2 linked regions of the Struthio camelus genome follow. The protein of the gene in region 1 binds, or shares a complex with, the protein of each later gene. Links are inferred from orthologs where the notes say so. Each region holds a gene or a part of one and is shown in the gene's direction. Other genes may lie near its edges.

Region 1 (8,040 bases):
TGAGTGACACGGCTGTGAGAGCATGCATGCACAGGGCGCTGCTTGCCCCAGTTTGCTATGACTGTTTCAGGGCCAGTCTAAAGATGGCTGTTTTTTTTCCTTTTCCTGAGATTTGCTATTCCTGAGCTTTGTACAAATATAGCGTATAAAAGGTGAGTGATGTGCTGCCTGACCTTGTTTTGGTACATTTGAACTAATCTAAAGTCAGATATAAGTTTGTTTTAATGATTCTCATGTCTGCAGGTCATCTGTTTTAGGCACAGGTTAGATTGGCTTTCCACATTCATTCAGCAGGGATTACCCCCAAAATACAGCTTGGTCAAAGTTGACCATGTCTGTTAGTTCCCTAAACATCTTGCAGTGTTGAATTAGAGCGCCTATGTGCTTTTAGGTTTGGACTCAGGTTAAATAATTGGTATTGTAGGGCTTTGCCTTCACTGTGGTTTTTTGCATCAGGCCAGATCATATGGATTAATTCCACCAAGAAGAAACAGTCTCCAATTTTATTTTAGTAGCCAAGTCGATTCCTGAGTAATTCTACCGTCCCGTGCTCAGTGATTAGCTTCAAAATTTCAACAGAAAAGAAGACCGAGAGTGAACAGTGCCTGAAATGGGCAGTGGTCCTCTGGTCGTGCACAGGAGGAGGCTATGGGTACAGGCCAGGCTGCACTCATGCAGTCATGACAAGCCTTTACTATGGTAACACCGTTATCTCAAACGCTCATGGGAACCTTAGCTTTGACAAGACGCTCCAGTTTTCCAAAATTGCCCAGAAATGCTTTTGAAATAGCTATTGCTATATTCGCAAATGCTGCTGGACGTTTTCCTTTGCATCTTGGGCAAGGCGCTTGAGCAAAATCACACGGTATGAAAACTAGCAATGAATCTTGGTTTTAAGAACTACCTAGAATAAAAATAATTATCAGGTGAAGCAATTTTAAGTATGATAAGTTGATTAGCTCAGCTCTATTAATCATCTAAAATACTGATCACTTCTCACAATTTACTCATATGCCTAACTAATTCAGGATGGGTATGGAAGCCCCACATCCTGAGGGCAAGTCATTAAGTGAAGATTTTAATTTCTAAAAAGAAGCAGCACAGAAAGTTAGATAATTTTTTTCTAGTCCAGACTTACAGAGAAAAACCTCAGCCCAATGAAGGCTCAGAAAGTAAGAGGCAAATGAAAACAATCCAGTATTTATTATTAAAAATAACTTTCTGATTCACCAGTTGCGAATGCTTGGGATTAGCAATGCTACTGATAAGGGGAAAGAAAGAAAACTAGAAAATACAACTAATTTGAGAAGAAATATTAATAATTAAAACATAGCAGGGGGGGGAATCTCATAAACAGTATTTTTATTTTCCTGACTTGAGTTTTAAAAGGAATCATACTGCATATAAATCCCCTAAAACGTTCTCGTTCACTCAGTGACAGCCATTGTATTAGGGCAGCATAAATCCATTGCAAGAGAGCGGAGAATCTTTTACATGAGAATCGTGTTTTATGGAAATAACATAACCTTGGTGTTCGTATCAATTTCATCTGAAAACGGAGAGTTCTCTCTCCTGCCACTTTGATGTTGGCAATTCCTGAGCAATCCATGGCTGAGGCAGGGTTTTGAACGCAGCCTGAGCCCGAGGAGGCCCATAACCGGGAGGTCGCCTCCGACACCTTGGCTGGGGCAGGGTTAGGGGCTGAGGCACAACACACCTCCGCTTCCGACACCTCACCTTTTGGCCCTCTCTGTCTATCTTTTTACTTTAGTTCCTCATTGGATGCACCTTCTCCCACTGAGGGCACTGTCAGAGGCACCCCTTTGCATCTAAGTCCAAACCTGCAAAATTCATTATGAAATAACTACTTGGATTTTAATGGATCCCTTTGGGGTATAATACTAGAATTTGCCAATGCAGCACGTTCCTTTAAAAAAAAAAAAAACAGTTGAAGTCTCAGGTTTCTGGTGGAAGTTGGACAGTAAAGGGGAAAGCTGGCATGGCAGTTTAGGTGGCATGTGCCCTGCCAACAGGCCATCTCCTCCCTCAGATCATCGCTGTGCCAGTGCGAGCCAGAACTACTGTCCTGCTGGTGGAAACCCGAGCTGCTGCTGGGTTACCAGCTCTCCTAGTAAGAAGCAGGGGGGAAGTGAATGCAGAATTTCATATGAAATAGGATGGTCTGGGTTTTTAACAATCAGTGGGCCAAGCAGTTGCAGCTGTATGGTACAAATTTAATGAAGGCAAGTGAGTTTTGCACCAGCTGAAAATGATGTAAGATCACAGGCAGGCCCAGGTAGTGCCTAAAAGTAACAGGTACGGATCTCAAATGAGCATTGGCACTTGGAGTCGACATGACTTTAGAGGAAAAATAAAAAGCCCAGCAATGTAACAACGCTGAGATATTTGTTATAGGGAGGGTATATGAGCATTTCCTGCCTCAGGCCAGCTAGATATGCATTTGCCATTAACAAAGATCTTTCTTGAGGAATTTTGAAAACAAAAAGCTAAAGGAATTTCATGTGCATGCCATGGGCTGAGCACATCTAATTGTTACTTCTTAGATTCAGACCACTGTTTGAGCGTCATGCCAGTGCTCAAGGGAAAAACGTGTCCCTGCACGTGAGGCGCATGGAGCTCCAGGCAGCGCCAGAGCCCTGACAAAAATTGGTCAAGGCAGTTTTGTGACTAAGAGACAGAATTCAGACATTAAACAGTTTACCAAAGGGATATGTTTTTATATGTATTGAGATAGAGCATGATGAACGCAGACGGAAGTTGAAAGAAGCTTGAAAAGACCCTGCAGCTATAAGCCAAGATGGTGCTTTATGTTCTAGAGCTCATGGGGTGCTCAAACATGTAATTGCTTTTATTATGTTTGGCATCTGCTTACAGTTCATTACCATTGTTTCTGACACTGGAAGAAATTCTAACTTTTATTTGCTGCACTAAAAGAGGATGAAGCAGCAAGTTAGACAAGTTCTTGTGCAGACAGAGAGGGTCAAGCAGTCATCACCACTGCACTGGTGTAAAGCAGGATCATGTTCACACTGACTTTAATGGAGCTGCTTATGACTTACAATGGTTTAAGAGAAGCATTTAGCTCTCTTCAGCCCTTAGTATGTTTTGGAAATTAATTCTAGCATGGTGAAGAAGTCATTATCCTAATTCCTGTGCCTGCTTACTCTGTGTTTGCTATCATACCTTCACAATGGTGGAACAAATAGCAACAGCAACATTTTCCTACCAATTAACAACTCCTTTTTCAAGCAGTGTGGTAAAGATTGCTTGGATATTATTGTCTCACATTTATTTATGCCAGTCGAACTTGCTGCAATGTTTCTCTTCAACACTTCTGTCAGGCCTGTTCTGTGGTAAATGAGCATTTTTGTGCTGAGAATGTGCTTATCCTCGAGATGATGCTGGGAAAGACAGTTCTTCTGCACCACATTAATAGATGGAGAACTGCTTGATGGAGCCACTGTGTTGGAGATTTGAAACGCTGGAAACAAACCAGATATTCAGAGTTCCCATGTGCAGATTTCAATCACACTGGGGCTAAAACACAATACTTTTAATGTTAACGATTTCATTCTTTCCATGTTGGTGTGACCTATCGCTCTCTCCATTCTAGCAAATGGGAAGCACCCCTCTGTATACGTGAGTCTGTCCCCACACACTACTGCTATTAGAGCTCTTCTGCGAAGTAGCACTCTTTTTATATTCAACTGTTTCAGAAGCCTTCTGACCTCCAGTCATCCTAGAAGTCTCATTAGCAAGGAGCTAGAAACCACCTAAGTATGCATTGTGTGTGTGGTTTCTTTTTTTTGCTACAGTCTTGCTTGTGCTGAATTAGGTTTAATTTTTGATACTGTGGCTGATGTATCAGGCCCTTAAAGATTCTATTTAGCCCTTGGAATTCTTTAGGCTGTGTTCACAGCAACGTAGCTGTTACGGCAATTGTGAAATAACCCTTAACTGCTAACCGTTCACAGAACTTTAAAATATATTTATCAAATACATTCAATGCAGTTAAGATGCTGTACAGGTGTAGTCCTGACATTTTTTTTCTTACTTATATGCCTTATTGCTTATATTCTAGTCCTACTGCTCACAGACTCGAGCCCCTTCCAGACCTGTTCTCAGTTATCACTCTTACAGGGCATGTTCTTGTCGACCTCAATCCAGCAAAACATTTAAGTACGTGCCTAACTTTGAACAGATTGATTCAGTGCGACTCCTCATGTGATTACAGTTATGAATGTGCTTTAGATGCTTTCCTGGATCAGGGGCTCAGAGGCAACACGACACCTCACCACGTGCCCGTTGAGAACTCTCCTTTTGCTTGGTTTTCCGTAACCGATCTAAATGTTGGCGCTCTTATTTTTAAGAGTTTTCACCCTTGTGCCCGCGCCCTATCGCTCTTTACACGATCTTAACCAGGCCGGTGAGCGCAGCGGCCGGCCGCCTGACGGAGCCGCTCGGCCTCCCCTTCCCAGGCCTGGGGCGTCCCCCGCGCCGGGCGGCACCGCGGGCCGAGGCCGCTGCGTGGGCCGAGGCCTGCGCGGTGCCAGGAGGAAGCGCTCAGCGAGGGGGCAGCCGGGCAGGCCGCACTGAGGCCGAAGCGCGCCCGCACGCGTTCACGTTTACAGCTCTTTCCCGTCCCAGACTGCAAGCGAGGACCCCGCAGACGGCAGAGGCAGCACGGCGCGATGAGCGCAGCGGGGTCGCGCAGTCAGTTAATTACCAAAGCCGCCCCGCTCTCGGGCCGTTCAACGGCCGCCGCAGGCGCCCCACGGGCGGTGCCCGCCGCGCCCGGCAGGGGCCGCTCTCCCCCGCCCGCGCCGCACCCCTTCCTCCCCCCCCCCGCCGGGCATTGTGGGAGTTGTAGTCCGGCGGGCGGGGTGCCCGGCGGGGCGGCGCTGGCGCGCGGACTACACGCCCCACAATGCCGCGGGGCGGGCGGGCGGCCGTTCCTTTTGAATGATTTCACTGCGGTCGGGGCTGGCGGCGGGTTTGGCAGCGGGGGGCTGGCGGCGCAGCCGGGCGCCTCGCTTCGGCTCAGGTCGCCGTTTCATGGCAGCCCGAGCGGGCGCAGCTGGCGGAGGGCGCGCCATGGCCGCCGGCGGGCTGCGGCGGTTTTAAAAGCGGGAGCCCGGCTCAGCGTTCGCCTTTCCTGCCCGCCCGCCCGCGGTGCCCCGGCTGGAGCGAGCCGCCGGCGGCCGCCGCCGCCGACATGTCGCTGGCCATGGAGGAGGAGGAGTACGCCAAGCTGGTGATGGAGTCGGAGCCCGAGTGGCTGCGGGGCGAGATCAAGCGGCTCTTCCAGGAGCTGGGCGAGACCACCCGGGAGAAGATCCAGGCGGCGGAGTACGGGCTGGCGGTGCTGGAGGAGAAGCAGCAGCTGAAGCAGCAGTACGAGGAGCTGGAGGTGGAGTACGAGACCATCCGCACCGAGATGGAGCAGCTGAAGGAGGTGAGGGGGGGGGCGAAGGCGAGGAGGGAGCGGCGCGTTGCGGGGCTCGGGCTGCCGCGGCGGTTAACTGCCTGCCGGCCGCGCGGCCGGCTTTGCGCAGCGCTGGGCGCCGCTCGTGTGCGGGGAGGGCGCCTGAGCGAGCGTTGCCCTGGCGAACCTCCCCCCCCCACCACCCCGGGGGCTGGCAGGCGGAGGGGGCCCGGCCCGGCCCTCCCGCGGGTCCTCCTGCTGCTGCTGCCTTATCGGAGAGTGCCGTGAGCCCCCCCGCCAGAGTCGGAAGGCCTCGGTGAAACCCTTCCCGCTCCAGAATGAGACATTTAAAAGGTAATTGCGTTTTACCTTGAGACCTGAAGGCTAATGGGGCGGGGGGGAAGGCTTCGCTGCCTCTAGCCCCCCTTCCCTCCCCGAGGGAGGGAAGTGGTGAAACGCTCCTCTTTCTCTTAAGAGGTCCTGAGGCAAAAAAGGATGGAAACAGGTCAAGCCTAGGTCGGCCGCAAGGAGAGCGAGCCTCTCGCCTGCCTCGAGCGAACAAGTGCAGCCCTTGCTCCTAGCGAGCAGGATGCGCTGGGACTGGAGCGGTCAGCAGCTCTGCTCTGGCAGGCCTCAGCCTGCTGAGTGCTGCTATCCTACCCCTCCTAGTGTGGGAACGGGAGCAGGAGTTGCAGGTGAGGGGCCAGGATGTCTCTTCAGATGGAACGGAGCAAAGGAAGTGCTAATCGCTTTTTTATGGAGCTAATTTAGAGCAGAAGACTTGCATTGATATTAATGACTTGCTTGATGCAGACCACTGTCACCAAAATAACGGTAGCCGGCACAGCTTTGTTTCAGTGCGTTTCCATGGTTTTTTAAAGTAAACCTCCCATTTTGGGGTAACTTGTAAGTGGTGTAAGGTTTGTCAGAAGAGTTGCTGTTTTACTGGATCAACTGATGCATAAGTCTTTCTCATGTGAGATCCTCTTCAGGACTAGGACATTGGAAAAGAGCTTTCTTAGGAACCTGAGTCCATGCGCAGAGTGGCACTGACATGCCAGAATATGAAGACTCGTGGTTAGTTATCTTGATGACAGAGTAGCTGATCCCCTTCCAGTTTACAGTGCAGTATGTCCTGCTGGAACTTGTTCATCTGCTTGTGCTCTTGCTTATTCTGGTGACTGTTTCTATGCAGGCAAAGCCTGTGCCGCTTTTGAGCGGACCTAGGCCTTGCCTTACTGTGAGAGATCTGATTTAGGTTAAGATGTGACTATATGTGGACTTGATTGACCAGTGCAAACTGTCCGATCGGTCTTTGGTTCACCGCATGTCAGTTTGAAATGGATTTGAAGCTTCATAAAATATGCCATTTCAAAGTGAAAATAAATACTCATAAATGGGTTTGTAAAGTTTCAGCTAACCCTATGAACCCCCTCACTTCCTGCATCCTCTGTGTCTTTTGGACTTGTAAATGGAGTGGGTTTTTTGCTTTTATTATGTTAAAGTAGCATAACCAAAAGAGGTTAGCTATTTTGAGTTAAATATCTATAAACTTGTTAACTAAATGCTGTTTCTTTTGATGTACCAGTGTAACAAAAGCCACTTGAAACTGACTCAATTACAACAGTAGAAGTATCACTCAAGGTGTTAGAGGCCATCTTGAAAAGGAGGAGAGAGCCACAGAGTTGAAGCTTAAGGGAAAGAAAAATCTTTAAACCCATTTAGTAGATGGGATGGAGAAACAGGGCCCTTCAAGGTGAATTGACTGGCCCAAACTAGCTCAGCAAGCCGGTGCCTAAACCGTGAATGAGGCTGAGTTACCTCAGTCATGGGTAATCCTTTATTCACTGGGCTGTACTTATGCGCTTGGGCTTTACATGTTTTTATCTTTCAGATGGAAAAAGGCTTACACACAACTTATTTTCAGATGACTGTAAAAGAGATTAAAAAAATTAAAATGGTAGGATCAGCAATGATTCACTCTTATTTGCTTTTATTATTCTGAAGGATTTGCGTTGTGTGTGCATGTCCTGTAGTAATTAAGTCAGAACCTGGGAGGCAGACAATTCTGGGAACAGCTTGAGGACTCTGCTCTTCAGCCTACACAGGGGAAAACATTGCTCCTCTAGCATTCTTGTGATGCTATGGAGGAATCTGGTCTTCATTAGATCTTCTAAACCTTTAGAAGATGTATGAAGCATGTTCTCGGAGGAGTTTCTTTGCAGTTTATGCAACTTCTTGCTTTTCCCAGGCACAGCTAGAAGAGTTGTACACACAAGACTTGCCACATGTCAAGCTCCAATTTAAAGGAATTCCACCTTGGGTTGTGTAAGTTATGTTCCTGGAGAAGGCAAGGAATTGGTGGTGGAATATCTGCATCAAAAAGGGATGCTCTCCTTTTCTTGCTTCTTAATTGTGATTACACACAGGCTTTTAAAATATAACAGTTCCAATCTTTTTAAATCTTTCTTTGTTCTTGTCTTCAGGTTCTTGTCTAGAGACCTGAATAGTACAAGGCCATATTATGCTGAGTACTGTGCAAACATATAGCAGTTTCCTGTCCTACTGGGGGTTGTTGTAAATTTGGATCTACT
Region 2 (7,692 bases), on another chromosome or scaffold:
GCTGCTCAGGGCCAGGAGTGCAACCACGTCAGACTGGCCGCGTAGGACCCCAAGGAGTCAAGCTGACCTGAAATATTGGTGGCTGGACATGCAACTTCACTGGCTCCACAGCAGTTTCGCTTGTTCCCAGTACTCTCACCTCTGGTTTGAAGAGACTGCTATGTCATGCTTCCAAAGTTCACACCTAAAACACTGACTACAAGCTGCAGTACCAAGGATTTACATCTCTGTCTCATGGAGGTCTCCTAGGGATACTCTCATGGGCCATTTAACAAGTTGAATTTGTTATCCTGCTGTTCTCCCTTTGCATCCCTCTTTGTTCGCACACAGTCGGTAGGGTAAGCGCCGTCTGGTGTCAGATCTGTCCTTAGGCAGTCCTGAGTCTCCTAGGCCAGGCTTTATAGCCTTAACAGCCACAGGATTTTTCCCCTTGCGCGGATGTGATGAGTCAGCTGTGTGGATGAGTGCTTTCTCGCCTCTGAATGACGTAGCACCGATAACTTGGGGAAACAACAAGCTTGCCAGGAGCTCTGCGGGGATACTTGAGCCTTGCAAAGGCTCAGGATGATCTTTCATTTTGCAACGTGTTGCTTGGCTAGCATTCATGCCAGCTTTCTTTTCCCTTCTGTTTAACCAGAAATTTCTATTCTCTTCTCCTTTTCTTGCCTCCACGGATATACTTTCCTATCTTGTATTTTCTCTGCCCAGCACTGGGGAAAACCCGGGCACAGGCATACAGCTGCATAGCTTTGGACATCAAGGAAGCAAAGGGAAATAAAGGTCACACAAGAGCCTTATCTCTGGCTTTGCAGTTCTGACCTGCTTTGAAAGCAGGACACGTATTTCGTTTAATTATTCATTTGGGTAACTGCAAACTCTGAGCAAACTCTCTCAGGCTGCTGGCACCTCTTGCTGCCCATCTTGCAGCAGGCGGAGGCTGTGGTACATTGACGCACCTTAGCCCTGGGGCATACGAACATCCCAAATAACTGGAACGTTTGTCAGAAATAAAGTGCAGTAAAGCAAAGAGAAAAAGTGAGCAATTCATCATGCAAAAAGAGAGGAAAAGAGCCAGCGAATGGCAAAAGAAACCTGACAGTTTGTGCCATCTCCCCTGGGAGGAGACTTAAAGGCCGCTTGAGAGTGCAGATGGGAATTCCTCTCACCACAAAGAGCTCTAAAAGTGCAGAGCAACAAGACGTGGCTGTGGCTCCCCTGCAATGCATCTTTTTCTCCCCTTACTCTAACCAAAAAAGGATGCTCCCTCGCCGCGTTTCATCTCTGACTGTTGCCCTCCTACAGCTGAGGTGGAAGCATCTACCAAAGTACTTCGGCATTTGTTGGATTTGCCGCTCTTCTGATGTGTGAAAAATGGTTTGTCCAGCTTAATTCGGAGAGTTTTGTGTACTTCTCTGTTCCTGTAACTGCCAAGGGCCTGGACCCTCTGCTCCCTTTCCTTTGTGAAGAGAGCAACCTGCAAAATCCCTGGAAGGCAGAACATCAATTTCAAAGCCTCCATCCTAAGGAGGTACTTGACCCTGGGCTTCCAGAGCCTGTGCAGCTCAGAGCTCGCCTCTCCTTGACCCCTCCGAGAGCACAGCACGCACAGGGTAGCGGTACCTTAGGCTGGACTGCCTGTTTCGACACCTTGCTCCTTTAGGAACCCGTTTAACAGAGCTGTTGCACGAGCTTGCCCTGAAAGGCCCCTTGAACTCCATTCTCCAATCATCCCCATGGTCTAATTACAGGACTGGGTAACTGCAAGATGGGGAAAAGGCAAGCCGGGGAAATTATTTAGCAACAAAGCCAATGCTGTCTTATTTCCCCTCCTGGGGTAGTCTCACTTTTTGCTGCTTGCTTTTCCTTCGCAGCCCTGCAAGTTTTTCACCTGAGCAAGAAAAGAATGACTTGCTCCTCTCGCACCAGATCTGACCAACGTTTTGTTCTCACCCTCGCCTGCTAATTCCACAGAGATTACCCACCGCGTGATGTGGTGTTGTCATTGGCATCAGACACTTTTCTCACCTCTCTGCATGGTTGAATCAGTCTGCCCTCACATTTCCAAAAAGGGTCTGTGCTATTGTCATCCTATGGTGACCTCCATGCTGAAGATAATGGGCGATGCATACACGGGAACCTCACACGCTTTGAGAGCTGCATCTCCACAAGAACTACCCACTGTCTGCAGTTCTTAGTATCTGAGCATTGAAGTCTCACATCAGACTTGAGTACTGCAGTTAAGAAAAATCTTTGCCTTTGACCCATTTCCTTTAACCTGTTCTTCTTTTTTCTAGGCTGAGGTTCTCCAAAAGACATAACCAGGCCCAGCTGGGGGGAAGAGGAGCAGAAATGGGAATCAGGTGCCATGCACAGTCAGCAAGTGTCCCGCCTCTCAGCTGAGGTGCATTTTAGAGTCCTAATGGTAAGGCCACCATATAACTATAAAGAAACCATACTGTTCTATTCATAACCATTTTTCATGGATATTTCATTGGCATAGTACATACAAGATGCAACACTAGTAAAGCAATGCATAAAGGAGTTTAAAAAATACAATCTATTTCTGAAATGCCAAATCGATAATTAAATTCACAGGACAATGGATTTTTTTTGAAGCGGAGGTTAATAGCAGGTCATGCTGTGAACAAAGCTGTAATGCAAAGTTACACTGGATAACACCGTCATGTTTTGCAGTGAGTAGGCACCAAAGGAGAGTTAAGCACGTGCAGGCACCCAGCTGTGCTGTTAGCATATTGGTAATACACAGAACCAGGTGACATGTGCTTTTTCTCCCCATCCAGGCGATAGCTTTTTTTTCCCTTCCCATCCCAACAGCTGCAGCTATGAGTTTTATTTCAGGCTTTGTTTCAGAGATTAAAATCATCTCAGTATAATCTCTTTTTGTTTTATACACTGAAAGATGAATTAGAGATGAGAATTAATGCCACAATGGATTTCATTAACCATACCAGAAGGCTTGGCTTGCTGTAGTAGACATTTCCAGCAGAAGGTGCTCATAATCAATCTGAATATTAAACTCCCTCCTCTGTTTAAATAGCAAAGATCAAATCTATGAAAGCACCGTTCCTGCATTGGGGCGGAGGGATGCTTTCAAAACTGGCAATACCATTCAAATGGCCTCACCTTATGGCGAGTCCCGCTTCCCAACAATGCCAGCGCCAGTTGATTGCAAGGACAAAAGGTCTAGCAAACTGGGTGCCTGGGGGAATTGCTATGAGATAAAGACCGCGTCACCTCTGGGTCACCGGCGCAAAAGAAAGCGGGGTTATAACAGCCAGCAGTCACCATCATCGGACGGGTGCAGAAGGCAGCATGGAGCGAGGTACCGCATCTCGCCTGCTTTCCGGTGAGCAGGTGCTCGTGCTACAGAAGGTCCCACCGGCATTAACTGGCGCTGCCAGGAGAAGGGCCAAGTATCGACAAGTCCCGCGAGCTGGACGCCTTTGGGGCATATCGCCTGTGAAAGGCGAAGGCCCAGTGGCAGATGGCGAGAGGGAAGTTTGCATTCCTACAACTCACGCTCTAACCGTTATGAATAATCAGCCGCTCTCCAGGGCCCTGGGTCTGATGGTAGGAGCCAGCCCCGACAGCGTCGTCTGTCCCCTTGTCCCAACTGAAAATGTCTTTGGGACTGATACATAGAGGTAGCTTGGTACAGACAAACACGGTCCTAGTGAATCCTCTGTAGGAAGAACAACAAGCCCTGTGGAAGCAAGGTCGTGAGATAAGAACTGTGTGAAATTCTTCCCGTCTTTCGGCAGGTTTCTGGGAGTCAAAAGCACAGGTTTCCTTAACAACGCTTCTGTTCAGTCGCTACTAAAGCACCACTTGAAATTAAAGCACCATGAGAAATTGAGGAAACAGTCTTGGCACATGTGACAACGTACAGATTTACCCTGCTTTACTCAGCCTCAGCCTCCCTTCCCACAGCACCAGGGAAAGCAAGGCCTAGATCTAAGGAGGAGGAAGGGAAATCAACAAAAACAAAACCGAAAACCAACTGAAGGATTTCAAGGGAGCTCAGCTACGTGGAAATCCCGGTTCCCAGTGGAGTCTCCTCCCAGCGAGGAAAGCGTTAAGAACAGGATCGACTACAGCTCCCGACATTCACTGAGGCTGCTTTTAAGGCGAATTTTATCCGGGAACACCGCAAGCAATCTGAAATTGAAAGCAAGCCCCAGGGGCTGTTGGAAGCTGTAGTCACCTGCCCCAGGGTGGACTACAGGCAGCAGAGACCCCCGGGCGCCGCGCTCCGAAGGGAAAGGGCCTCGGCGGGGCCGCCCGGCGGGCAGGGCTGCGCCGCTCCCCCCGCCGCGGGCTGTCCCGGCCGGTCCCGTGCCGTTTCCCACGCTCAGCCCCGCTCCCAGGCGGGGGGACACAGCCGCCCGCCGCCCCGCCGATGGCTCCGCCGCGGCGCTGGGGCGCGGGGCAGCGGAGCGGCGGCGGCGGCGGCGGGGGGCGGGGGCCGGGGGCGGCGGCGCTCCCCGCCCAGCAGCCGCAGCCGCGGGCCGGGCGCGGGGGGCGCAGCGGAGCGGCGGCGGCGGCGGCGGCGGCGGCGGCGCGCAGGGCCATGGCGGCGCCGTGCCCGCGCCTGCCCGCCGCCGGGTCAGCACCGGCGGAGGCGGACAGCGCCGGCGGCATGGAGCCGCCCGGGGCCGGGGCCGGGGCCGCCGCCGCCGCCGCTGCCGCCGCCGCCGGGGCCGCCGCCCTGGAGCTGGCCCTGGAGGAGGAGCTGGCGCTGCTGGCCGCCGCCGGGGAGCCGCCGGAGCCGCCGCCCGCCGCCGCCGCCCGCGACCCCGAGCTGCTCTCGCTGATCCGGCAGAAGGAGAAGGACCTGGTGCTGGCGGCGCGGCTGGGCAAGGCGCTGCTGGAGCGCAACCAGGACATGAGCCGCCAGTACGAGAGGATGCACAAGGAGCTCACCGACAAGCTGGAGGTGAGGCCCCGCCGCCCCCCTTCCCGCAGACGCCGCCGCCGGCCCCTGGCCCGGGGGCGGCTCCGCCACCGCGCGGCTGCCGGCCGGGCACCGGCGCCCCCCCCCCCGGGAGCCCGGCCCGGCCCGCCGCCGCCCCCGGCCCGCAGCGCCCCGCTGGGCCCCGGCCGCGCTCCTCGCCTCCAAGTTAGATCGCTCCTAGCCGCTGCCGAGCGAGCGTGTGTCACCTCTGCGCTCAAAGCACCGGGGCGCCGGGCGCGGGCACCCCTAACGGCCGGGCTGCGGGAGCTGCTGGCTCTGAAAAATGCCCACAGGTAGCTGGAGAGAGCTGTTCGCCGGGAAGGCAGCGGCATGAGCTGTTCCCTGATTTATTTTTTTAAGCCTGAAATATAGCTGTCACAAATAAAGACTAGTGCCGGCAGCTTCTCTTGCAAGAAACCTCTTGCACACCTCTGTGAGCGAATCGCCGCTATCCCCAGTCTTTTTCTCAGGGATGCTCTTGAAATTTTAATTCTCCCAGCAAGGAGTTCTGTTTAAAAACAGAACAGGCCCCTCTCGCTCCTTTCTGGAGAGAGCTTGAACGGTGCTGGATTAACATTCAGATTTCAAGTCACAACCCTAGACTAATTCTTCGTGCACAGTTCTGCCTATTCCTGTGTCCCTTCCTCGTGAAGTCTTACATCTAGCAAGTTAAGAGGATTTGTGAAATTACTGCAAGTCCTTTGTTCTGGGAGCCTTTTCTTCCTAAGGGGAGATATCTGTCTCTGTTATTAAACTCTGTCCTTTACCCTATCTGACCACTTCCTCTCTGCAGGAAAAATCCTTCTTTTTTACTATTCTGGTACAAACAACAGTGAAGGCGACATTGGCTCAAATTGTTGTTTAGCAGCACTATTCATCAGATTAAAATTTTCCCAGAAAGAACATTTTCAGTTTGTTCTTTAAACAGCATAGCAAGAACAAACATATTTGCTGGAGTGCTGCTGCGGTTTTCCCTAGGAGTTGGGCTAGAACCTGTCCTACCATTACAGGAGAAAACGTGCAAGCCCAGATACTGTCTAAGCTGCCTATTTGACTGTTCTGGCCTCTCAGATACTACTTGGTGTTTGCAAAATGTAAAGATGGAAATGAGACTTCCTAGTTCTTTAGATACAACTATGACTTTATAGTACTTTATATAAAACAACATCCCCCAAATGTTTACCCCGCTCCCGTGGGCCCACTCGGACACTGTTCACCTGCTCCTCGAGGTGCAGGAAGGCCCTTTCTTAAGAGCATTTGATAAACGGGGCCATTTGTTTACATCTTTTCATCCCATTACTAACCCTCCAGCTTTCCAGGTGAATAAGAGATTCCTGCTTTTGGGGCTACTCATCTGGCAGGAGCCAGTGCTGCTTGCCTAGAGTCAGTGCTGCTCGCTTAGAGTCAGATTTTGTTTGGCAGATCTGAGACTGTGCTATTTCACAAAAGGAGAAAAAAAAAAAAAACACCTTGAATGTTAATCTGCTGCAAAACAAGCCGGGTAATCCTAGGTTGTGCAGATTAAATGCTGGCCTCCTCCTGTTGCCACTGAAGTGAACAAGATTTCCCAATGAGCTTTTCGATTTAGGGGGAGCGGGGAGGAAGGACCCGCAGCCGCCACCCACGTGCCGATGCTGAGCGCTCTCGGAGCCCGGCTCAAAACAAAGCCTCAGATGGGATCCTTGGAGGCAATCGCCCCCGATTTCGTGCTGTTTAAGCAGCCTGTAGGAAGGGAGCTTTTCTCCCGGCTGCCGGTTCGAAGGGGTTTGTGAGAGCTCGGCGCAGCCGCTCCATTTCCCGGGAGCCAGCGTGCTGACCTGCTCTGCTGCTGCTCTGCCTCTGGATGGCTTCTGCAGCGGTGCCGCTGCGGGCCGCTTAGAAACGTGTCTCTGCTTCCTCTGGCCTCAAGTTTGTTTCCTGTGCCGGCGCACGCAGGGCTCAGCTAGCTGGCGATGGCCAGATGCGTTGCGTTTTTGCGGGGGCGTTGCCGAAGCGCAGCATTTGTACCACACACACCTTACTCCGGCCGATCTTCCCCTTCGGAGCCTGAATTCACGTTCGTTACTAAATATGGAATCGGTGTCTTTGACCACATTCTGACATGTGAGCTGAGGCAGTTGTATCTGCTCCAGAGGATTAAAACCGTGAGCGTCCCCGCTGCTCTCCAACCCCCCAGAGCTTGCCCTGTCCAAGCAGTTGACCGAACGGCCCCCCTGCCGGCAGCGCAGCTCCCCCTTGCTCTCCTGCCTGTAAACGAGGACAAACCCAGCTCAGTTAAGCAGAAGGGAAGCCCGCTTGCAGAAGAAAATGCCTTCTAGAAAGTAATTCTGCGTAAAAACCAGCGAGAGGCACCCGTAAAACACGACGACCCCCCCCCGGTGAGAGCAGCAGTTTGCCCTGTCATTGCTACACGCGGGAAGCTACCCGGATGCACCACGGGGCAGGCGCTGGGGCGGGCGCGAGGGAGAGGCAGGGGGGAGCCCGTCAGCACGGCCGGGCTGGTTTCCCTCCTCTTTGAAAGAGCGTCGCGGCCGCCCAGTGCTTCTGCTCTCTCCATCACCACGAGAGAATAAACTCGGTCCTCTCTGCCTCCCTCCAACTCCAACCTTTGCGACGGCCATTTACCGGCTCTACAGGGTGGGGATTTTCTTTTGCAGGGAGGGACCAAGAGGGTTTTAAAATGCCTGGGGAGGCTTATGGTTAGCTTCTGCATCGCA

Evidence for each region. Proteins that work in one complex are often made in the same cells at the same time.
Region 2: BICD2 (region 1) and BICDL1 share a complex: the UniProt entries of both Homo sapiens proteins name them as parts of the tripartite complex. The link is inferred for Struthio camelus from reciprocal best matches to the Homo sapiens genes BICD2 and BICDL1.

Annotation. Positions count from the first base shown.
Region 1 is NC_090955.1:17,574,898-17,582,937, forward strand, and holds the start of BICD2 (protein bicaudal D homolog 2), read left to right. Parts: upstream 1-4,944; 5' UTR 4,945-5,236; coding exon 5,237-5,476; intron 5,477-8,040. UniProt on the Homo sapiens protein: Acts as an adapter protein linking the dynein motor complex to various cargos and converts dynein from a non-processive to a highly processive motor in the presence of dynactin.
Region 2 is NC_090958.1:7,650,834-7,658,525, forward strand, and holds the start of BICDL1 (BICD family-like cargo adapter 1), read left to right. Parts: upstream 1-4,591; coding exon 4,592-4,957; intron 4,958-7,692. UniProt on the Homo sapiens protein: Acts as an adapter protein linking the dynein motor complex to various cargos and converts dynein from a non-processive to a highly processive motor in the presence of dynactin.